Linked DNA regions of Sus scrofa. The protein of the gene in region 4 interacts with the protein of the main gene of each other region in a biochemical or structural test. Links are inferred from orthologs where the notes say so. Each region holds a gene or a part of one and is shown on either strand. Other genes may lie near its edges.

What was found.
Region 1: the proteins of PTPN6 (region 4) and PDGFRB form a complex in vitro, tested with the Homo sapiens proteins (2 studies listed by BioGRID and IntAct, with this or other methods). The link is inferred for Sus scrofa from reciprocal best matches to the Homo sapiens genes PTPN6 and PDGFRB.
Region 2: the proteins of PTPN6 (region 4) and LCP2 form a complex in vitro, tested with the Homo sapiens proteins (2 studies listed by BioGRID). The link is inferred for Sus scrofa from reciprocal best matches to the Homo sapiens genes PTPN6 and LCP2.
Region 3: the proteins of PTPN6 (region 4) and PECAM1 form a complex in vitro, tested with the Homo sapiens proteins (2 studies listed by BioGRID, with this or other methods). The link is inferred for Sus scrofa from reciprocal best matches to the Homo sapiens genes PTPN6 and PECAM1.
Region 5: of the proteins of PTPN6 (region 4) and LCK, one has a biochemical effect on the other in vitro, tested with the Homo sapiens proteins (4 studies listed by BioGRID and IntAct, with this or other methods). The link is inferred for Sus scrofa from reciprocal best matches to the Homo sapiens genes PTPN6 and LCK.
Region 6: of the proteins of PTPN6 (region 4) and ROS1, one has a biochemical effect on the other in vitro, tested with the Homo sapiens proteins (2 studies listed by BioGRID and IntAct). The link is inferred for Sus scrofa from reciprocal best matches to the Homo sapiens genes PTPN6 and ROS1.

The regions. Positions count from the first base shown.
Region 1 is NC_010444.4:151,190,019-151,194,184, reverse strand, and holds the start of PDGFRB (platelet-derived growth factor receptor beta), read left to right. Parts: upstream 1-1,366; 5' UTR 1,367-1,973; intron 1,974-4,166. UniProt on the Homo sapiens protein: Tyrosine-protein kinase that acts as a cell-surface receptor for homodimeric PDGFB and PDGFD and for heterodimers formed by PDGFA and PDGFB, and plays an essential role in the regulation of embryonic development, cell proliferation, survival, differentiation, chemotaxis and migration.
Region 2 is NC_010458.4:53,738,474-53,741,973, forward strand, and holds the end of LCP2 (lymphocyte cytosolic protein 2), read left to right. Parts: intron 1-1,108; coding exon 1,109-1,231; 3' UTR 1,232-3,263; downstream 3,264-3,500. UniProt on the Homo sapiens protein: Adapter protein primarily involved in signaling pathways within T-cells, as well as other immune cells such as platelets, mast cells, and natural killer (NK) cells.
Region 3 is NC_010454.4:14,684,643-14,688,142, reverse strand, and holds part of PECAM1 (platelet endothelial cell adhesion molecule), read right to left. Parts: intron 2,409-3,500; coding exon 2,133-2,408; intron 1-2,132. UniProt on the Homo sapiens protein: Cell adhesion molecule which is required for leukocyte transendothelial migration (TEM) under most inflammatory conditions.
Region 4 is NC_010447.5:63,765,587-63,769,086, reverse strand, and holds part of PTPN6 (tyrosine-protein phosphatase non-receptor type 6), read left to right. Parts: intron 1-50; coding exon 51-167; intron 168-252; coding exon 253-366; intron 367-525; coding exon 526-622; intron 623-998; coding exon 999-1,078; intron 1,079-1,263; coding exon 1,264-1,413; intron 1,414-2,354; coding exon 2,355-2,486; intron 2,487-2,600; coding exon 2,601-2,755; intron 2,756-3,500. UniProt on the Homo sapiens protein: Tyrosine phosphatase enzyme that plays important roles in controlling immune signaling pathways and fundamental physiological processes such as hematopoiesis.
Region 5 is NC_010448.4:88,718,477-88,722,685, reverse strand, and holds the start of LCK (tyrosine-protein kinase Lck), read right to left. Parts: upstream 2,801-4,209; 5' UTR 2,381-2,800; intron 478-2,380; exon of another isoform or gene 364-477; intron 1-363. UniProt on the Homo sapiens protein: Non-receptor tyrosine-protein kinase that plays an essential role in the selection and maturation of developing T-cells in the thymus and in the function of mature T-cells. Plays a key role in T-cell antigen receptor (TCR)-linked signal transduction pathways.
Region 6 is NC_010443.5:44,472,378-44,475,877, reverse strand, and holds part of ROS1 (proto-oncogene tyrosine-protein kinase ROS), read right to left. Parts: intron 3,247-3,500; coding exon 3,044-3,246; intron 1,471-3,043; coding exon 1,265-1,470; intron 434-1,264; coding exon 147-433; intron 1-146. UniProt on the Homo sapiens protein: Receptor tyrosine kinase (RTK) that plays a role in epithelial cell differentiation and regionalization of the proximal epididymal epithelium. NELL2 is an endogenous ligand for ROS1.

The DNA.
Region 1 (4,166 bases), on a different chromosome or scaffold from region 4:
GCCCCGGGAGCGGGGGGGAGACAGAGGGCGGCAGGGAAGGAGCCCTGGGCAGAGTCAGGCTCTACCTGGGTGCCCGGACGCCTCTCTTCCCTCCCTGGGGCTCCGTTTCCCCGTGTGCACAGTAGTGGGGTGGGGGGGTGACTTCACTCGACTCTCTAAGCCTATTTATTTATTTATTTACTTTGTCTTAGGGCCCCACCTGCAGCATATGGAGGTTCCCGGGCTAGGGATCGAATCAGAGCTGTAGCTGCGGCCTACACCACAGCCACAGCAACGCGGGATCCGAGCCGTGTCTGCACCTACACCGCCGCTCACGGCAACGGTGGATCCTTAACCCACTGAGCAAGGCCAGGGATCGAACCCACATCCTCATGGGTACTAGTCGGATTCGTTTCCACTGAGGCCGCGACAGGAACTCCTCTCTAAGCTGTTCGCAAATGATGTCCTTAGGCCAGGAGTCTGTGCCTAGAGACGTGTTCTGACCTGAGACGCGAGAGTTCAAGGAGTGAGGGTGAGAGGCCCGGGGTTCCTGGAGGCACCCTGGCGGATCTCGGCGTGGAGGAGCAGAGGGGCCGGGAGCACGGAAAGGGCAGGTAGCCGGACGCGGAAATGCGCGAGAGGGACCCAGGAAGAAGGTGGGTGGGGGCGCCTGGTGACACTGCAGAGGGCCAGCTGTCGGCCTCAGATGGCCTGTTTCTGCTCCATCACGTCGCGCGTGAGACCCGGCTCGGCTCCGCCGTAGCTGTGACTTTGGGACACTCACTTGCGGGCTATAGTTCCTGGTCTAGACCATGAGGGATCAACCCTTTCTGGTACTCCAGGGTTTGGGGATGATGGAGGAAGGTGCCTGGAATCGGAAGCCTGCTGGGTGTCCTTAGGCGGGTCGCTCTCCCTCTCTGCTGTTCACGCCTGGGTCTCGACTTCTTCCTCTGAGGAGGGACCGGTGGCCTCAGAAGGGCTTTCTGCCTCGTCTATGTCCCCCTTTCCTGCGAAGCCCATTCCAATTCCCTCCGGCCTCGGCGAGCGCCCTCTCTCGTGCACTCTCCACTCTCAGCCCCCCGCCCTAACGAGGATGGCCGCCCACCCCTGCGCGGGGCTGAAGCACAGGAAGTGCACCCAGGTGAACCGATGGGGACTGAGTCAACCGGGTAGGTTATCGGGGCTCCCTTTGCAGACGGGAGAGCCCAGCACAGAGCAGGGACCCGCCCCCAGGCGCCACGGCGAAGGGAGGCTGCCACCGAGACAGGCAGCAGGCGAGTGGGGCCAGCCACTCTTTAATAAAAGTGACTCAGCCGCTGGCTGGCGTGGGCTGCGGAATTTCTAAACATCCCCTCACATCCTGAGCGAGCAGGCTACGGGAGGGAGCAGCAGAGGGAAAGAGGAAGAAAAACAAGAAACTTGGGGGAGAAGAGAGGGGGCTGAAAATTGAAAACAGACGCACGCGTCCACCCTCCCCGCTCCGGCCCCCTTCTCCCAGCTGAGCCAATCAGAGGCCGCCCTGCAGCCTTTCCCCCAAGGTGGGGGGGCAGCCAAGCCCACAGTGGTGTGAGCTCCCGGGGCAGCCAGCAGCCCGCAGTCCCTGCCCACCCCGTCTGGGACCCAGGACCGTTTTGTGAGCCACTTGGAGCCCGAGAGGAGGAGGGACTAGGAGGAGGGAGCCGGGCCCCCCTGACCAGCGCCACCAGGCAGCAGCCAGACCAGGGCGGCCCTTCCTGGCAGCCCGGCTGCTCCAGAAGGATGCTTTCGGAGTGAGGCCACTCCTCACCCCTGCAGCCCCCGACTCCCTCGGTTCTCCCGGGGCTCCGGGAGCCTGCAGCCGTCCTCACGGCCTCCCTGCCCGCTGCTGCCCCATTTCGGGTCCAGCAACGTCTTTCTGGTAACAGCAGAGAGTAGGCGGTGTGGAGGTCTTCCTGGAGGGGGCGGCAGCCAGAGCCCAGGACCCTGCCCACACCACAGGAGGCATCAGCAGCAAGGTAAGTGCCGGAAAGAGGAGAGAAGCCCAGCCCCTGGTCCTGTCCCCTTGTCCCAGACTGCGCCTTGTTGGGTAGGTCAAAAAATGGAAAATATTTTTAACAAAACCAGATGGGAGGTGGCCAGGAGGCTGTGAACGACCTCAGGGCCGGAGGAGCGAGCTCCCTCCTGCTCCGGCTGCTTCTGGGGTGGACGCCTCCTGCCCCAAGCAAACCCCAGAGGTTGCTGGGTGCTAAGTGGGGCAGGGGCGCCTCCAAAGCATAGAACCGCCTGCGGGAGGGGCAGGGAGAGCGGGAAGGACGTGAGAGAGGAATTGGGAGATGGCTGGCAGGGTGCGTGGACCAGGGACCTCAGACTCGCAGCCTCTGTCCCCAGGCCCAAGCCTTGTCCCTGAGAGTCTGTCTGGCTTTAGGCCAGTCAGCCGCCAGGCAACGTCTCAGGATTTAAATGGATTTGCAAATTTTCCAGATTCCTAAAGTGTCCTTCCAAACCCCCAGCGGCTGGGAAAGTGCGAAGGCGATGGGGCCACGGCAGGCCCGTCCTGGCGGTCACGTCCCGCAGCCCAGACTGGGCGTCTGGAATCCGACCGTCGGATCTGGGGGTTCCTCTCTGGAAAAGGGGGATCGGCTGTGGGGCGCTTTCCTCCAGTCCCAGGCAGCTGCTCAGGCCTCCTGGTGGTCTCCCTCCTTCTCCGCTCCCCCCAAGCCCGAATCTGATCTCTGGTTCCTTTTCTGTGCCTGTAGAAAGCCCCGGCTCCTGACAGCGGCTGCCACCACGGCCACTTGCTGTTCGCGTGGTGTGTACACGCGCGGTCCCGTGTAACGCGCACCAGCAACTCCAGAGGCAGGGTCCGGTTTTGTACCCAGTTTACGTGGGAGGAGACTGAGGCTCAGAGCAGCCACAAAGTGGTGCGGCGTGGCTGGTGGGCGGCGGAGCTGGGGAGTCAGGACGCGTCCTGCCCCACCCTCCAGGCTCGGGCTTGGTGTTCCTGCCAGTCGGATCCCAGGATCCCAGGAGGGATTTTCGCGACCCTGCCTGTGGACAGGCCCTTCGTCACCACGGCCCTTCTCCTCCAGGGACCTCCCCCCTCTGCCTCCTCCAGGCAGCCTTTCTGGGTTTACATTCTTCCAAGGCTTGCCATGCCCTTCTGTGCAGCCTTGCTGTCGCGTCTGTTGACATGGCAGGCGCCAGGCTTCCCCGTCTCGGGTTCTGGTCCCCGTGTCCCTAGGAGGGCAGTGGGGCTGGGAAAGGGTGGCCATGAGGGGAGGGACTCGCTGGAGACCGCGTGCCCCCACCCTCCTTCCGCTGCCTGCCCGGAACCTCGCGGGGATCCTTCGGATGCTTCTCTATGTCCAGGAGGGAGTCCCCTGCCTCTGCGACCGCCCTTCTAGTGACACCTCACGTCCAGCGGTCGTCCCCTGCCCTGAGCAGCAGGGCCCTGAGGCTGCGGCCCCTGGGGACCTGCTGGTTCCCGTTGTCACCTCCTCCCCTGTGCCGGGCACAGACCCTGGGCCCTCGCAGGCCTTTGGCGTCTGTGTTGTCGTGAGCCCTGCCTTGAGCACGAGGCCAGTGAGTCAGAGCAGCGCTGCGACTTTCCCAGGGTCGCACAGCCGGCAGAGGTGGCATTTAGGCCGAGGTCTGCCGGGGACCAAGGCCGTAACCCCCTGCTCCCACGGAACCCGGCCGGGCCGAGCCCTCATCCCCCCACAAGGCCTGTTCCTTCTTCCCCAGAAGGGGCAGCTTCAGGCCTGTCCTGCTTCCGGGTCCACCGGGGCCTGGTGTGTGGCGAGGGAGGAGGGCCCCGTTCAGGCCCCGTCCCGTCCCCTCCTCCGACCGCGAGCCCCTCCCTCGCCTGCCTGCGGGAAGAGGAGCTGGGGCTCTAATTGCCCACAGATGTGGGGCAGCGGGAAGCACGGAGGACTCAGAGTCAGGAGACCCGGCCCGGGCCTGGCTCCACTCCCACCCCCACCCCCAAGGGGCCAACCTCAGGCCCCCACGGCTCTTTCTTGCTGCGTCCGCATCTGGAAGGCAGCGGGCATGGTGGGGAGACCACACCAGGCTCAGGCCTCGGAGGACCGGGCACAGTCAGCAGCCCCTGTGCCCCAGCTGCTGTGCGACCCTGGGCCGGTGCTCTGCCGCTCTGGGCGCTGGGCCCTCCCCCGTGAGCCGCCGGATGGGAGCGCACGTAGATGAGG
Region 2 (3,500 bases), on a different chromosome or scaffold from region 4:
ACATTTTCCTGTCTTTCGCCAAAGTTTACGCTAGTCACTTTTTGGGTGGTAATCAGGACTGGTGTGAAGGAAACCTTTCAGGGCTGCTTTTTTAAGCTACAACTAAACTGAATACCCCAAACATATTCTTTAAGCTCAACGTTCCAGGAGGAGAAGCAGCTGAATCAAACATTTCCAGAATGAGAAGCAACTTAGCCATAACTTCCACTTCACTCCAAATAGTTTTAAGTTATGATAATATAGATGAGTAGAAAAAAAGTCCACATGACTTTGGCCATATGTTTGAATCACTGGTTCCATCTGGGTAGAGCTGCACCAGTCCTATAGAAGCAGAGACATCTGCCCTCCAGGATGTCTACTGGTCTAGTGGGAACACAAATACAAACCACAGATTGCAGCTGCCCTGGAGGGCAGCACCTAGCCGGGCAGTCTTGGGGGCAGCGCATAAATCTAAAGTACCTAGGAGACTTCTGACCCACATCCAGATGGATGGATGGGGATTTTCCAATCTAGCCATCAGTGATAGGGTGATCCAGGTAATGAATGCAAAGACTTGCTTCAGAGCTCTGGTGAAGGTGGCAGTTGGGGACACAGCAGAGATCATGAAGGAAATGGTATGACCTGCTACCGAGATCATCTTCCAACACAAACACCAGGGATGCTGTCTGACTTGAACTCCTTAGACTTTCTGACGTTATTAATGATTCAGAGTAAAGCAGGGATACACAAACCAAAACCAAACCACAAATGAAACAACCCTAAGGTAAGGCTATCAGGATTAGACTCCCTGCCCTCATATATATACATATAAATATAAATATATATATGTATATATATATATATAGCCTGCCATATGAAGTTAAATATACATACACACACATAAATACACATTTGCTTTAACCCATGTTGGTGAGGAATTAGTTTTTCAAAGGTCCGCAGTAGAAATCATTAAGCTATTTGCCAAATTTTACACACACACCACACATAAATATTCCCATAATCCTCACATTTCAAGAGGTAGAGTATTATGCAGATTTTAAAAATGAGAGTGAAATTCCTGCTACCCATATTCCAATGTTGATTTATCTCCCTATTTTAAACCTTTCAGGACTTTCTGTCTGTGTCAGATATTATTGACTACTTTAGGAAAATGCCGCTTCTACTCATTGATGGAAAAAACCGAGGTTCCAGATACCAGTGCACGTTAACCTATGCTGCAACTTATCCCTAGCAAGCCAGCCAAGCAAAGGAACCTTACTCCTGCCTCTGATGCCAGCATGGGAAGATCAGTCAACTGTGGTAAACCATCAGACACTTGGGACTGAATTGAACCCCTTAACATGAAGAGTTTTGTCCTTTTGCTTAAAAAGTGTTTGAAATGAAGACTGTCAGATATCCCATAATTTATTTATTCTTCTTCAATGTTTATAAAATGCATGAGTAATAATGTTCACACTTGAAGTGGAGTAGGGCACTGTAATAATTCATTTTTAAAAGATACGTATTTGTGAATACCCATTTCCAAGTACATTAGTTTGCCCAGCTACACAAACAATATGGGGCAAGCTGAGCAACACTGAAATGGTAATAATTTTGGTAACACATTAAAAACTGAATTTTTTAAAATAGGCACTCCTTTGTCAAAGGCAATCATCAGTTTTATATGCACAATTTGAAACTTACTAAAATTCAGTTTCTAGGCAGCAATAATTTAAGAAGCTTCCAAAACATTTCATCCTTTCTTATTTGTTTTTTTTTTTTTTTTTTTTGCTGGGGGGATTTTTGTGTACTTTTTTATGAAAAAGATAAATGCATGTCAGGATAACTCCCTGGAATTAAAATTAATTTGCCTTTTGCTTCACTTTTGAGTTCCTAAGACAACTTTATTGACTTTACTTAGTTCTTACTTTTTTATTTGTTTTAAATCAAATTTAAGATACAAATGCCCAAAGAAAACATTTTAAATTTAGAAATGAGGCTTTGGTGTCAAATTTAAGTTCATCACATCCAACACCCACATCCTACCTCCACTCCACCCCCCCCAACCAAATCCAAAAGCATCATCAAGTGAAATAGATTTTACTGAAGTCTTCCCAGGAAAATGAAAGAACAATGCATGTATACATGGAAAAATCTGATCAGACTTTCCAATTAGATAGGTTTTTTTTTTCCTGACAACTGTAATAAAGCCCTTCTCTTCATCCATTCCCAAGAGGCTTTATAAATTCTTCAAAGCAATTCAGTTCTTTCCTTCAACATTCATATCTCACTTAAAAAAAAGTAGGCATGTCACACAATGAAAACCTCACATTCAGTTAAGTTTTCCCTTTTGAGGCCTGGGTTGTTATTCCACAACTTTTATTAACAATAAAAATGTATGGCTTCTCTGTTTAGTATATAAAATTTCTAAGTCACAAAGATTCTTGTCTTCAATTTCATGAGATAAGAGAAAGAACACTGGGGAGTTCCTGCCGTGGCTCAGTGGTTAATGAATCTGACTAGGAACCCTGAGGTTTTGGGTTCGATCCCTGGCCTCACTCAGTAGGTTAAGGATCTGGTGTTGCCGTAAGCTGTGGTGTAGGTCGCAGATGTGGCTCGGATCTGGCATTGCTGTGGCTCTGGCGTAGGCCGGCAGCTACAGCTCCGATTAGGCCCCTAGCCTGGGAACCTCCATATGCCACAGGTGCGGCCCTAGAAAAGACCTCCCCCCCAAAAAAAAAAGAACATCAGAAGGGATCTTGGAAGTCATCTAGTTAAAACTGACAACTTGCTAAAATAAGTATGTAGAGACTTTTAACCACTGACAATTAAAATGATGCTTCACAAACGTCATCCTTACAAACCAGAAGTTCTCAATTCAGGGTTCAGAACTCAGGAATTCTAAAGCTGAAAAACTTTCATTCATTTACATGTTTATTCAAGAGGATATTCGACAAGCATTGACTCCATGCCTATTCTGTGCTAAACACTGAGCTAGGTGCTGGGCAATGAGGCTAGAACTGCGATGGAGGGAGCTGACCTTGTGTCTTGCTTTGTGGTATTACATACCTTATGTTTAAAAATATTTAAAATGAAGGACATGGCAGATTTCAAGCAACTATTTGGTAGTGGATTATGTTTAAAAAATAAATAAAGATTATTATTTTAAATTTCTGTTGGCAGAAAGAGACAGAAATTAGCAACTTTTAGGACACAGGTGTCCTAAAAATAAAACCTATTCCACTCCAATGATTGAAATAAATGATGAATATCTGATGTTTGAATGACTAGCATTCTTTCTCCCCTTCTTTGGGCCATGGCAACTCTGTTCTTTTGATGCGGCATCTCTTTTGGCTACAGACCTGGCATATGATCCCAGTCTCACCAAACATAGTTGCTCAAGACCCATCTTAATCAAAGCTGGGCCAATCAGGATCTTTCTCTGGAATGTTAAACACAGAGGCTGAGACAAAGGATCTCTCTTTTCTCTGGGGTCCCCCAAAGGTAATGCTGAACATCTG
Region 3 (3,500 bases), on a different chromosome or scaffold from region 4:
AGCAGAGGAGGGAGACAGCAGTGGAAAAGAAACAGTCTTTAATTACCCTCTAGAAGGGTTTAAGTCTAGAGGGGATTCAGGTAGTGTTTGCAGTAGAGCCCATAGAGGTAACCTTGAACCCAGGCTCGAAGAATCAGGAAAGAAGCCTTGGAGGTCGTTATTCAGGCAATGAGGGAAAGTGGCACAGGGCGGGGGCAGCCTACGGAAGGCCTGGCAGGAGGTTCAAGCACCTGAACGTTCAGGGGTTCCTTTCGTGGTGCAGCGGAAATGAATCTGACTAGGAACCACAAGGTTGAGGGTTTGATCCCTGGCCTTGCTCAGTGGGTTGAGGATCCGGTGTTGCTGTGCACTGTGGTGTAGGTCGCAGACACAGCTGGGATCCCACGTTGCTGTGGCTATGGTCTAGGCCAGCAGCTGTAGCTCCGATTTGACCCCTAGCCTGGGAACCTCCATGTGCCACGTGTGCGGCTCTAAAAAGGAAAAAAAATTAAAAAACAAACAACAACAACAAAAAAACTAAATTGCTAGCAGGATCCGACCTGGTGTAGACCAGCTGGATCCATCACATGCCAGTCACCCAGCTGGGTCATTGGCAGCCTACCTATGACACTGGGGATTGTCCCTGTGACCATATACTCAATGCTTAACACGGGGGAGGCTTTCAGTAAACGAGTGAATCCATGATGAATGAATGAACACTTTCATTGGGGAACCAAAAGTGCTGATTCTCTCTGTCCTCTGAAACACCGTCGTCCAATGCTCATCCATCCACCCAGGAAATATGTACTGAATTCCTACTAAGTGCAGACACCTGTGCTCCAGGTGTTAAGGATATAGCCCTGGATAAAAGAGATAATGCCCCTGCCCTTATCGGCTTACTTTTTTTTGTGTGTGGTTCTATTTCTGGATTTTTTTTTTTTTATTTCCCCACTGTACAGCAAGAGGGTCAGGTTATCCTTACATGTATACATTACAATCACATTTTTTCCCCCACCCTTTGTTCTGTTATCGGCTTACTTTTGAGGGCCGCATACAGACAATACACAGGAGGAGGTAGAGTACGTTTTTTTGTGATAAGTGCTGTGTTGAAAAGTAAAGCCAGGTAAAGGAGGAAGGCGTTCAAGGGAACTTGCAAGTACGAGGGCTTGGAAATCTAACAGGCTCTGGGGGTGACTCTTGCTCTGCCACTTGGTAACCCTGCAATTGTTGGGTTCTTCTCAGCTTCAGTTTCCACATCCCTAAAACCAGATTCATAATACCTACGTTCTTACAGAGTTGAGTTTGAAATGAAAATGTATGTAAACCAGGCATATAGTGTTCCACAAAGAGGATCTATTACTATGATTTTTGAGTTTAGTAATGCTTTCTTTCTTTCTTTCTTTTTTTTTTTTTTTTTGTCTTGTCTTTTTAGGGCCGCATCTGTGGCATATGGATGTTCCCAGGCTAGGGGTCCAATTGGAACTGTAGCCGCTGGCCTCCACCAGAGCCACAGCGACTTGGGATCCACACCGCGTCTGTGACCTACACCACAGCTCACGGCAACGCTGGATCCTTAACCCACTGAGTGAGGCCAGGGGTGGAACCTGCATCCTCATGGATCCTAGGCGGGTTCACTAACCACTGAGCCACGATGGGAACTCCTAGTAATGCTTTCTCACTCCTGACCCTGCCATGGGGCCCGAAATGGGATGGAGGGATCCGGACAGTACTTGGCACAGAGGAAAGAGAACTGTGACATAATAACAGAAACATCAGATAACCATCACTGAGGGCTTACTCTGTATGAGGCTCTTTGTGGCACAGTGATGCCATTCAGCCCCTGTGACAGTCCTACAGTGGTGTCATTACCCCCATCTCAGAGTTGTGACAAGGAGAGGGTCAGTAACTCACCCAAGGTCACTGAGTGGCCAGGCTGGCCACTGAGGCCACAGCCTGCACCTGCTACCACCACAGCTAACTGCTTACTTGCTCTGCACTGACTTTTCCCCACGAGCGCCCCAGCCCGGCCCAGGCACATCCCTTCAGGCCAACAGGAGCAGAAGTATCTCTCAGCTCTCACTGCCCACCCGGGATTGCAGCACAGCGGCTTCTGCAGCCCGCCGTAGGCCGACACCCTCCAGCGGCAGCCTCACCTGTTATGTTGACCATGATGCTGCTGACTTTGGAAATGCGGCTGGCTTCCACTTTGCACGTGTAGTTGCTGTTGTGCTCCACCGTGGCCATCACTGAGTACACGGCCTCGCTGCCGTTCCTGCTGTGCGCCACGATCTCCTTGTCCTTCTGGATTATGATTTCCGGGAATGACTGGGCCTGGTGTGTCACTTGAATGGTGCACTTGATGAGGAGCTGATCCCCTTCTATGATCACTCCCTTGGGGCTGATGTGGAACTTGGGATTAGAGAAGGATTCTACGGGAAGAGGACAAGCTGGTTGGACTCAGGTTCAGACCTGCGGGAGGGAAAAAGCACGTCCTCCCGCTTTCTCTTCTTTTGGATGTCAACCAGTTTTTCCTTATTAATTAAAAAGACTCAACCTTCCCTCTCAAAAACCTTCATGGGCGGCTCCAAGGCTCCCCCCTCTTCTTGCTCACTCTTGCATCCTCGGCCTTCTTTTTAACTTCAATGCTCTCTTTCTTGAGCTTCCCAAAGACCAAACCATCTTCCCTAGACCTTCTTCAAATGACCTCAGAAATAATCACAGCAGTCGAAACAGACTCTTTCCCTGCCACACATCAAGGATTTTCTAGGTAATTCTCACACCGTTCCATGGACTCTCTGGCATTTCAGCCTAGATATTCTATAGCTTTCCAGAGTGCAGCTTCATGGAAATGCATATTTAAATGATCACATGCCTCCCAAAGTGATTTCTAGTCTATTCTATCTCTTTTTAAAAAATACTGGTTATGGGAGTTCCTGTTGTGGCTCACCAGGTTAAGAATCTGACTAGTATCTGTGAGGACACAGGTTCGATCCCTGGTCTTGCTCAGTGGGTTAAGGATCCGGCGTTGCTGTGACCTGTGCTGTAGGCCGGCAGCCACAGCTCTGATTTGACCCCTAGCCTGGGAACGTCCATAGGCTGTGGGTGCTTTAAAAAGCAAACAAAACAAAACGAAATAACTGGTTATAATTGACTAAACTGATTTCATGATTCACGTGGTTTGAAAAACCGTTTTAATAAAATATGGGCCAGATATCAGGGTGTGGATCTTCAGCGGATGTGAGGGAAGTAGGGCTAGGCCTTTGTGCTTGCCAAAAAAACAGCAGAGCGTATGAGAGTATATACACAAATTACAATCATGTAAAATACAGATAAGGACATTAAAAAATGTCAAAGTGAATATAGAGTGATACAATATTTAATATTCTTTTTAAACTGTAAATCACTTAAATTCACAATAAAAAATTATCATTTTTTTAAAAAGTCTGTTTTCCTGCGTAAAGGTCATAAAAAAGAAAGGGCATCTTTTAGGATACTCTGGGGTACCTTAATAACTAAAGGTT
Region 4 (3,500 bases):
AAGAGGGAGACTCGGGTCCTGAGAGCTGGTCTGACTTGGTGCCCCTACAGGGTGGCCGCTACACAGTGGGGGGTCCCGAGACCTTCGACAGCCTCACGGACCTGGTGGAGCACTTCAAGAAGACGGGGATTGAGGAGGCCTCGGGCGCCTTCGTCTACCTGCGGCAGGTGAGAGGTGGGCCTGGCTGCCTCCTCCTTTGCCCCCAGCTTCCGGCTCTAGAAGCGGCTGACTTCTCGCCTTCCCCTACCCCAGCCATACTATGCCACGAGGGTGAACGCGGCTGACATCGAGAACCGGGTCTTGGAACTGAACAAGAAGCAGGAGTCAGAGGAGACAGCCAAGGCCGGCTTCTGGGAGGAGTTTGAGGTGCCTGATGGGACCAGGGGGGAAAGGGCGTGGGGTCCTCGGCAGACCCCGTCTCCTCTCTCCCACCCCGTGTACTGATCGGCCCCACGTCCTTTGCCCTCCATGGGTGCCCCCTCTAGGGGCTGGGGCTCCATGTCCCCCTTTTACCCCCCCTCCCAGAGTCTGCAGAAGCAGGAGGTGAAGAACTTGCACCAGCGGCTGGAAGGGCAGCGGCCAGAAAACAAGAGCAAGAATCGTTACAAGAACATCCTTCCATGTGAGCGCCCTGCTCCTGAGCAGCCTTCAGCCCTCCCCGCCACAGGCAGCACCCGCTCACGAGGAGAACGCTCCCCACAGCGGCCGACCTCCCCGCAGCACATAGGGTCTCCCCATACTCCCGCTCAAGGAGGCCCCCCACCCCACCCACACAATAGAACCTCCCCCCCACTTCAAAAAGCCTCTGCTCCCCGCAAAGGAGCCACCTGCGCCCCACCCTCCTCTTCCCCTGAAACCTTAATTCCCACCCCATCCAGATCCCCTACCCCTGCCTGCCCACAGTGCTCTGAGAGCTCATGGCTTCTGGGCAAGCATGGCCTGGGAGTTCAGGAAGGGTCTGATCCAGGCCCTTCTTGCTTTCTCTGCCCCACTCCCAGTCGACCACAGCCGAGTGATCCTGCAGGGACGGGACAGTAACATCCCTGGGTCTGACTACATTAACGCCAACTATGTCAAGGTTGGTGTGCCTGCTGGTCACAGGGAAGTGGGGGGGCTGGGCCCCAAGGATCCCCACCTCCCTTGCTCATGAGGTTGCTGGGTTCAGAGACATGTGGGTGACGCAAAAGCTGTCCCCGTGGGTGGCTGAGGGTGGTGGGGGTACGAGGGGCTCACGGTCCTGCACGTCTCTGCACTCACATCCAGAACAAGCTGCTAGGGCCCGATGAGAACGCTAAGACCTACATCGCCAGCCAGGGCTGCCTGGAGGCCACGGTCAACGACTTCTGGCAGATGGTGTGGCAGGAGAACACCCGTGTCATCGTCATGACCACTCGGGAGGTGGAGAAGGGCCGGGTAGGCTGAGCCCCGTGCTCCCAGTACTTATCGCCACCACTATTAAGCCAAAGAAACTTGGGGCCCCTCAGAGGGCGAGGGTCCTACCTTGTGGGAAAACTGGGGTACAAGGTCTGGGTACACCCTGACTCCCAGATCCCTGCCTCCCAGCTTGGGCTCCCCTGACCTCCAGACTCAGATTTCCAGTGGCCGCCTGCCTTTGACTGTCCCCTGCCCCACCCCGGCCTGTCCCCTCCGGGCCAGAAGCCTCTCCTCTCCTCTCAGCCTCATAATTCTTTCTGGAATTGTCCCACCCCCACCCCCAGCACACACTGCATCAGGCTGCTCCTTCTGAGAACCCCTCAGTGGCTGCCAGCTGCCTTTTGAGTGGTCACAGTCCCAGACCTGGCACTCGGGCTTGGTGGCCGCCCTCTGGCCCTCGTTGCCTCTGACCTGCCAGGCTCCTTCAGGTTTCTGTGCCTCTGCATGAGCTCCCGGCCTCTAGGAAGTGGCTTCCTCTCTCAGCATTATCTCTGCCTGACAGACTCCTCGTTCTTTGAAAACCCAGCTCAGATGCTCCCTCCTCTGGGAAGTCCTCCCTGATTTCCTCCCTTGCCTAGACAGAGAATGAGTCTCTCCTTCCACCAGGCTCCTCAGCGACTCTGGTTCCCCTGTTCCTCTGTCTCCCTGTGAGCTTCTAGAGGCACGGGCCACATCTTATGTGTGTCTGTAACACCAGCCTGGGCTGGGAAGCATCGGGGACTGTGAGTGTGCCAGCTGACGTTCACTGAGTGACCTATACGTGGCTGCTCAGGTCTCACCACCTGCGGGAGGCTGAGCCGAGGCCAGATCCTTTGTCTCTGACTCTCGGCCAGGTCACACATCAGATGCTGATGGGCCAGCACTAGGGGCTCAGGCCCTGCTTCTGTCCCTCAGTCGCCATCTCCACCCTTCCTTTTCAGAACAAATGTGTCCCGTACTGGCCAGAAGTGGGCAGTCAGCGTGTTTACGGACCCTACGCTGTCACCAACGGTGGGGAGCACGACACAGCTGAGTACAAACTCCGCACCTTACAGGTCTCCCCGCTGGCAAATGTGAGTGTCCCCTGCCCCACACCAGGACCCCCCCCTCACACCTGTTCTCTTTGGTTGGGTAGAATGAGGCCATGAGTGGGAGCAGGGGGCATTGACCCTATGTCCTCGGCCCAGGGGGACCTGGTTCGGGAGATCTGGCACTACCAGTACCTGAGCTGGCCTGACCATGGGGTCCCCAGCGAGCCTGGGGGTGTCCTCAGCTTCCTGGACCAGATCAACCAGCGGCAGGAAAGTCTGCCTCACGCAGGGCCCATCATCGTGCACTGCAGGTGAGAATAATAATAATAATAATAATAATAGTAATAATAGTCAAAGTAGTAGCTGGCAAGTAAAACTGCTAAGCGCCAGGCACTGTCATAAGCAATTGACACAGTAACTCCTTTAATGCCTCCCCCCACCCTCGCCCCCACCTGCTCTGGGTCCTGATGGCTCCAGATTCACGGGTGGAACTTAGCAGGAACCAAGCTCATGGCTTGATCCTCTGTGTGCATGTGTGTAGGTGGGTGTGGGTGTGGGTGTGGGTGTGTGTGAGCTTCCTCAGAGACTGCCCAGGATGTACCATGTGGTCCAAGCTGCCACATCCTGATGAGGAAATGGGCCCCAAAACGGTGTTTCTTCCTGGGGTCAGCGCGGCCCCCATCCCTCTCTCTTCCACCTGTAGCCCTGGGCTCCTCCATTGCTGCTCCCTGTCTTTCCCCCACTCACCAGAGACCCCGACTCGGCCCCAGGCCCATGCATCACTAGCTCCACTGGCCCTCGTGTTCATGAGCAGGAGACCCCATTCCTGCTAAGGTGGGGGGTGCTGCGGGGTCAGCGAGGAGGAGCAGGGGGTCCCGTCAGGCCTGAGGGGCAGAGTCCCGCAGACGGGCCTACTCCGCTGGCCCGGCCTGGGTGCGTGGAAGGCAGTGCGCAGGGTCCTGGACGGACGCCTCCAGCCCTTCCACCCGCTGGCTGTGTGATATTGGACACATGACGGCACTTCTCTGACCGTGTGGTTCCTCATCGGTAAAATCA
Region 5 (4,209 bases), on a different chromosome or scaffold from region 4:
CAATAAGTAAATTGCAGTTCAGAGAAGTGAAGCCATTCAAGGAAATGGAGGAACCGGAATTGTGCCTGGGTCGGCCTGACTCTGAACCAGAGGTCCTTTGCTTTATACCAAACCATTGGCTCTCTTGCTTTTGGTCTTGCGCTGAGGTCTCTGCCCTCAGGGGATTCCAAGGAACAGAAACCAGAGACAGCAATCTTGACTTCATGTCCTAGGTTCTCTGTAAAATGAGCCTTTGTCCTCAGAAGTGCCTTGACCCTTCCAAGAAACCTTCTGGATTGCCTAAGGGAAGCCTTCTCCCGTCCCCTGAACCCTCTGCCTGTTCCTTTGCCCCATCGCTTGGCCCTTTTTCCCTTTGAGACGAACCTCTGGGTGTCCCCGATGTGGTTCCGCAGCTTAAGAACTTGACTAGTATCCACGAGGACCCAGGTTCGGTCTCTGGCCTTGCTCAGTGGGTTAAGGATCCGGCGTTGCCATGAGCTGCAATGTAAAAGTCACAGACACAGCTCGGATCTGGTGTGGCTGTGAGCTGTGGTGTAGGCTGGCAGCTGTAGCTCCGATAAAACCCCTAGCCTGCAAACCTCCACATGCAGTGGGTGAGGCCCTTAGAAAGAAAGAAAGAAAAAGAAAGAAAGAAAGGAAGAGAGAGAGAGAGAGAGAAAGAAAGAAAGAAAGAAAGAAAGAAAGAAAGAAAGAAAGAAAGAAAGAAAGAAAGAAAGGAAGAAAGGCAGAAAGGCAGGAAGGCAGGAAGGCAGGAAGGAAGGGAGAAAGGAAGAAAGGAAGGAAGAAAGAAAAGAAAGAACCTCTGTTCCTGAGCCCCAAGGGCAAAGGACCCTGAGTCATCTATCAGCACAGGCTGGGGATGGGGTAGCTCTTTGTGTGGGTCCGGGGTCTGGCTGAGTGTAGGGACAGCCAGCGTGCTTCCCAGCCCCCACAAGAGGCTGCAGGCCTTGGAGTTGGGGACAAAAGTAAGGCTGTGATAAGCCGACTCTCATTGGAAACTATGCGTCAAGAGAAGCTCCAAAGGTGGAGGGTAAGGCAGGTGAAACCTGGAAAATCTGGCTCAGGTGGGGATTTACCCAAGAAACTGCAGGCCGAGAGCTAGAAAGTGAGGGGGTGGGCAGGGAGCTGACTCTGCCTCCCTGGGCCTCCATCTTTCTGGGGTTCGAAGCAGGAATCAGAGGACCCATTGGTCCTCCGCAGGCAGTGAGTGGGGTGGGGGTGGGAGTGGGAGGGAGAGCAGGGAAGAGGGAGGGCATCCTGCGGATACTCTGCAGGGCCAGGAATGGCGACTTTCCAGATGGAAGTTCAGACGTTCCTTGCCCAGGGCCAACTGCACTCCTGTCCAGGATAAAAATAGCCCTTCCTCTCACCACCGCCCCCCCAACTTCCCAGAGTCAGGTCAGACACTTGCAGCCTGGAGGCCCCATCCCAGATGATAAATATCCCCTCACAAGTCCAACCGCTCCCAACGGAAGACTCCTCCCTCTCTCAACACAGGCTGGTCACTGAGGCTAAAATCACTTCTCATGTGTCCAGACGGATGCCCTGGGTGACACTCACTCTCTCTCTCTCTCAGGAGATTCTTGTCACCGGGGTCTGCCCCAGCCATCAGAAGGATTCTTGGGGCCCCTGACTCAAGCCTCATCATCACCCTGCCCATGGGTAGGGAGTCACACCCATGGGTGGGTCATCACCTCTCCGGGGACCAGGCTCTGCTGCTGCCTCGCTGATGGACTTTGGGGATGGAATACATTGCCCAATCTGGGCCTCGGGTTCTGATCCAACATGGAAGGAGGGATTGGATTTAGGGATTTCTTTTTTTTTTTTGCTTTTTAGGGCCACACCCACGGCATAGGGAGGTTTCCAGGCTAGGGCTCGAATCGGAGCTGTAGCCACGGGCCTACGCCACAGCCACAGCGACATGAGATCCAAGCCGTGTCTTTGAACTACACCACAGCTCATGGCAACACCAGATCCTTAACCCACTGAGCAAGGCCAGGGATCAAACCCACAACCTCATGGTTCCTAGTTGGATTCATTTCTGCTGGGCCACGTCGGCAACTCCTGGATTTAGGGATTCCCGAAGGCCTTTTTGATACCTGACATTCTATGTGATAGATCCCCAAGAAAAATGCTCCCAGTGAGGGGGCATTGATGGTAAGCAGTGTGACACAGGCAAGAGGCAACAACTACACAGGAAAGAGGGGGTCCAGCTGCTCCGCCTGCCTCCCACATGACCTCCAGCCAGGATTTTCTGTCCCCCAAACTGAAGGGCTGCTCCATATCAGGGGAGCCTGGCCTCAGGCCCAGCTGCAGCGCCCCCCACCCCGCCCCCCTGCCCCCCTCCCGCCCCTAGACCATTTTCCCCAGGACTCCTTACCTGCCCAGCCCAGGAGCCCTCTGGCCCCATTCACATGGTCTTCCTGGCCTAGCCTGGCTGCCCAGACGCAGCTTCAGCTCCCCTCGGCGTTGTAGCTACCGCCTGTCTCCTCGCGCCCACGTCCCACCCTGACTTCCTGCCTCCTCCTGAGGGCTCTGCAGCCAACCGGGCCCCAGCAACCCAACCACAAGCCTCCAGCACCCCAAGCTTCCTGCTCCCATAGCCCCCCGCCCCTCAGCCCTTGGGGGTCCTACACATCTCCAGTCCAGGTCCTACGCATCCCCGGGGTGTCACCTGGAGGTGAGGAAGCCTATTTAATGGAACATCTCTCCTGCCCCCGAAGGGTGCACCTGGACGAGAGATTCAAGGGAAGCCTTTAAACCCCAGTGAGCAGGAGGCGAGCAGACACCCACTCAGCTTTCAGTGAAAGGCAAATCGCACTGCTGTCACAGTCTGAGAGCCGAGTGACCCTTTCGTTACAGTTCAAGGGCAAAAGTAACATCGCTTCAGAGTCAGAGGGGAGGAACTATCCCTGCAAGATCACTGGAGAGCAGACATCCGTGTTAGAGGCAAAGAGACACCAGGTGAACACTGCCGCTAGTTTCAGCAGCAGAACAATAGCCATGCCATCTCAGGGCACAGGACAACAGCTCTATCCTATACAGAGGGCAGGGTAACGCCCCTCTTACAGAAGAACGCTGGACAACGGGTTGCTGAAGGAAGCAGGCAGGACAACCCCGTGTCTTAAAGGGGGCACAGTAACAGCCTCTGTTGTGGGAAGAGGGCAGGGCGACACCCCCTAACTAGGACTGGAGAGTAGGGGGACCCGTCTAACCCAGATAGAGGCACGGCCACAGCCTGTGTCAGAGGCACAGGGCCTGACACCACCTCCTGCCACAGGAGGCAGACCGAACAAACATGCCTTCCCAGGCACACAGGTGCAGGCAGCAGATGGACATCGTTTTGTCACAGGCAGGAGGCAGGGAGCGTGGCACAAGCAGCAAGCAGGCCAACAACCTTCCTTTCTCCTGGGGCCCGGCTCAGGGTGGCCGAGGGCCTGGTCACCAGTGTTAGAAGGAACGCTAAGTGGCTTCTATCAGGCTCAAGAGCTGGGCCTGCACCCTACCAAGGGGGAGGAAGGCATACATGTGTTACCTCGGCCTGAAGCTGCACTGAGGGAGGGGTTGGGGGAGGGGAGCCCACAAAACATTGTTGGGGTTTGTGAGGTGGAAGCTGATGCTTATGCACCTCAGCTGCGGAGAGAAGGGGGAGACAGGAAATGGGTGGGGGGAAGAGGAAGTCTGAGTTGGAAAGTCAGACAAAGGGGGTAATACAGAAACAAAAGCTGAGAAATACAAAGTTAAAAAAAAAAACAAAAAACACAACAAAAAAACACTTAGGGGGCCCCAGCTCCCCTTGCCATGAACCTGAGCACCTCAGGCCATCGCTGGGCCTCTGCACAACAGCAAACACAGCACTGAGGAGAGCAGCAAGGCACACGACAAAGTGCATGTTTCTTGAGCGCTTACTGTGCTTTATCTCACTTAAGACATGTCCAACTCCATGTGAAGTGAGAATTAGCACTTCCACTTTTTTTTTTTTTTTTTTTTTGTCTTTTTAGGGCGGCACCCTCAGCATATGGAGGTTCCCAAGCTAGGGGTCAAATCGGAGCTATAGCTGCCGGCCTACTCCACAGCTCACGGCAACACCAGATCCCAACCAAATCTGCAACCTATACCACAGCTCACGGCAACGCCAGATCCTTAACCCACTAAGCGAGGCCAGGGATTGAACCCACGTCCTCATGGATACTAGTCGGGTTCGTTAAC
Region 6 (3,500 bases), on a different chromosome or scaffold from region 4:
TACATGTTATATATATTTACTTCTGAGTATAGGTTGAATGTAACCCCTTTTCAACAGGACTGGAGGTGCTGCCATTACTAATGACTATGTGCACGCACGCGTGCACACACACACACACACACACACACACACACAAAGTGTCTTACCAAGCAGAGCAGGCATGATGATCACTTGCCAACACTGACATCCTTCCAGATCCATGGCCCAGATCTCTTGCCCTTTGACAAAATATATTCGTGGTTTCTTTAGGTCAGAGGTATCAATAGTCATTGCTCCACCTAATTCAAATTCAGTCACATTGCAAGAACATTGGCTCCTTCCACGCGCACGGGTTATGGCTGTGGGTTGTAGAACTCGATGCAAAGTCTGGTTGATAATACTGTAGTAGAACATCTGAGATCCAAAATCAGAAACCTCTGTCCAATATAGACGACTATAGGAAAAAAAAAGACCTTCCAATTTAACGAGTAAAACATATTACAAATATCAATTTCTCATGATGATCAGTTATTTCTAATGCTTATGGGGACAAATGCAACCTTTGGAGAGAACATGTCCCAGTGTTTGAGAACCTGATGGAAGAGGTCATGAGAAGTCTAGTTTGTAGCATTTTGCAACAATTTCTCAGTAAATGTGTTTACAACAAAAGCTTTGGACGGTAATGACCTTAGGCATTTTATTAAATGGCTCATTAATGGCTCTAAATATGAAACGTACTGGCATACTCTACATCGACACCATCTCCATTCCCTTTTGCTCGAGTTTGTTTCTGCTTCTTACTACTAGTTACCAATCTATTTTCAAAATAGAGTATAACCGTGCTTATGGCTCAAATAAAATGTCTCTCCAGCTTGAGAAGCTGCTATTCAGTTGCTTAATGGAGGCCTTAAAATTCATCTCATGAGGATGTTAATTAATGATGGATGAGCCCAGAATAGCATTTGCTGTGCAAGACATGTCTATGTCCTACTCATTTCCTACCACTGTCTCGGTCCCCTTCCTGTCCTTATAAACTGGGAATATTAAATTCGCTGGTACAAAAATATGCTTTGGTTTCCTGCTGGTCATTAATGTGTAGGTATGGATTAATTTTATATATTGGTGGTTGTGGACTCATCATTTGTATGTAGAATTACTATAAATTAATATCAAGAACATTAAGCATCTTCTTGTCCCATCATTGACTTTTAATATTAAACTAAAAATATTACATTAAATGTCTGTATCTATTTCATCACAATAGAAACAGATACACTTCACATACCTTAAAAAAGGATATACAAAAAAAGAGATTATTGTTGAATTTCTGTCACATATTTTCAGCTTCCTGGGATATTTCACCTTGTTTTCAAGATCAATATCAAATATTTGCATTCTGTTTTGTGATTCTTTCAGCACAAAGTAGAGGTGCCTTGAAATCCAGTCAATTGTTATAACTGTGATATCAAAAACCAGTGTGTCTCTGAAAATCTTAACAGGTAGAAAACATAGCCAAAAAGACAGTGGTCATTTTCTTCAAACATGAGGACTGTTTTTGACTATCACCTGTATTACTTATTTACTACACTTCTCTTTTGTATTCCAAAACCTGAATAGCTCTGGATGGTGTGCCTTTGTAACACTAGTCCTCTTCTCACATTATATATTTTTCCTATTTAATTTCAACTACTATGACTTCAACTGTAATCCTTAGACCAGTGCTACAAATCCACATCTTCAAGATCTCTCAGTGAATTGCTGACTCAAATATCAAACTGCCCACTGAACATGTCCAAATAAATGACCCCAGAAAACAGGATGCATCACCGCACACACCAAACCTCCTTCCTCCTTCATTTTATATTTTTATGGCTTTCCAATACTCACCAAGGAGCAATTTCATCCTTGACTTCTTCCTCCTGTTACTTACCCATAGTGAATTAGTCCCAATTTTAATATCTCCACAATTTTAAAGAGAGAGAGAGATGTCCTTTCCTCTCTCACCTTACTGCCTCTCATTTCACGCCTAACATTTCCTGTCTAGATTTCTGTGATGGCCTCCTGATTGTCTCAGACTTAACTTTTTCTAAGTCATTATTCACACTGCTAACACAGAGGTCTTCCTAAAACACAACCTGATCGTGTTAATGACCCACTGAATTTCTTGAATGGCTTCTAGTTGGCTTCAAAACTGACACTAAACTCCTTAATACAGTAAACAAAGGCCATTATATTCAGGTTCCTGCTCCACCTCTCCAGCTCTACCATCTGCCTTTCACTCTGCCCTTATTCCCACTTCCATTCCAAGCTCCTTGTATTTATAGGTCCCTGAAAAGGCTGTGGCTTTCTTGTTTCCCTTTCTTTGCACTTGCTGCTCCCTTGGCATTTCCCCACCTTCACCTGGTTCATCATCTTTGTACCTAAGATGTCTTTCTACTTTACCACCAACCGCCCCCCCCCACCCCAACTCTGGAATAAGCATCCATTCTCTGCAATTCCACTGCATCCTGCCCCCAGCAAAGCACTTACACTGTCTTCTGCCTGTCTTCTCCACAAGCTAGCATTCAGTGAATGCCTACCACATTCCAAGAGTTGTGCTAAGTGACTTACATGGATTATCTCATTAATTTTCACCCTATGATGAGCAACTACACAACCATAGTGGTTAAATAAGTTGTTAATGGTCACAGATCTAGCATGTGGTAGCGTCAGAATTAAATTCTAAGTCGTCAGATTTCAAAGCTCACTTTCTTAATCACTATGCAATACCGTCTTCCTCGTGTGAGATTAATACTAGACGGGGTTTGTTCAAGGACTGTGACTTCTTTTTTTATCTCTTTCTCAGGTAACAGAGTTCCTTAAACCCAATAACTGTTGCTAAATTAAGCCTGAATCACATTTGCCAGAAACCTAACCTGAGTTCGTTTGCAACTAATTAATTATACAACATCTGTCCTTTTCAACCATTCTAATCTCAATGGCTCAACAACTGGCCAGTCGTTTTAGTTACAGGGTGATGTGGAAACACTCCACTTCCTTTCAGAAGAATGGTGCAGCAAGATACCTCAGAGCTGGACCCATTGCGCATGTTCAGAAGGAGGAGGGCGTCTGATTGAGCACAGTACCCCGTTGCATCATCAGCAGTGTAGCCCACGGCCCTGAAGTCTCCTTCAGCTGAAAATGTCCATGCAACTCGATTTTGATCCATATCTAACAAGACTATCTTGTTATCAAAGAGAGTTATGAGGAATGGAAATGGGTTGATTTCTAAAAGCAAAAAGCAAGTAGTTAACAAATACGAGAAAAATAACTAGCAAAATCCCTTAATTCAAAATCGGGCCATTTTGAAATCCATCAGCCTCCTTTGTGTTCATCTTTTACACCCATCTTGATCAAGGCTGCCTAGATGCTCTAAGCCTAAGTTTAAGCATGTTTGACGATGATACAAATTGTTTATTTCATATGACTTTAATTTCATCTCAGAGATAGCACTCGGGTAACCCTGAGACTATATTTGTAAA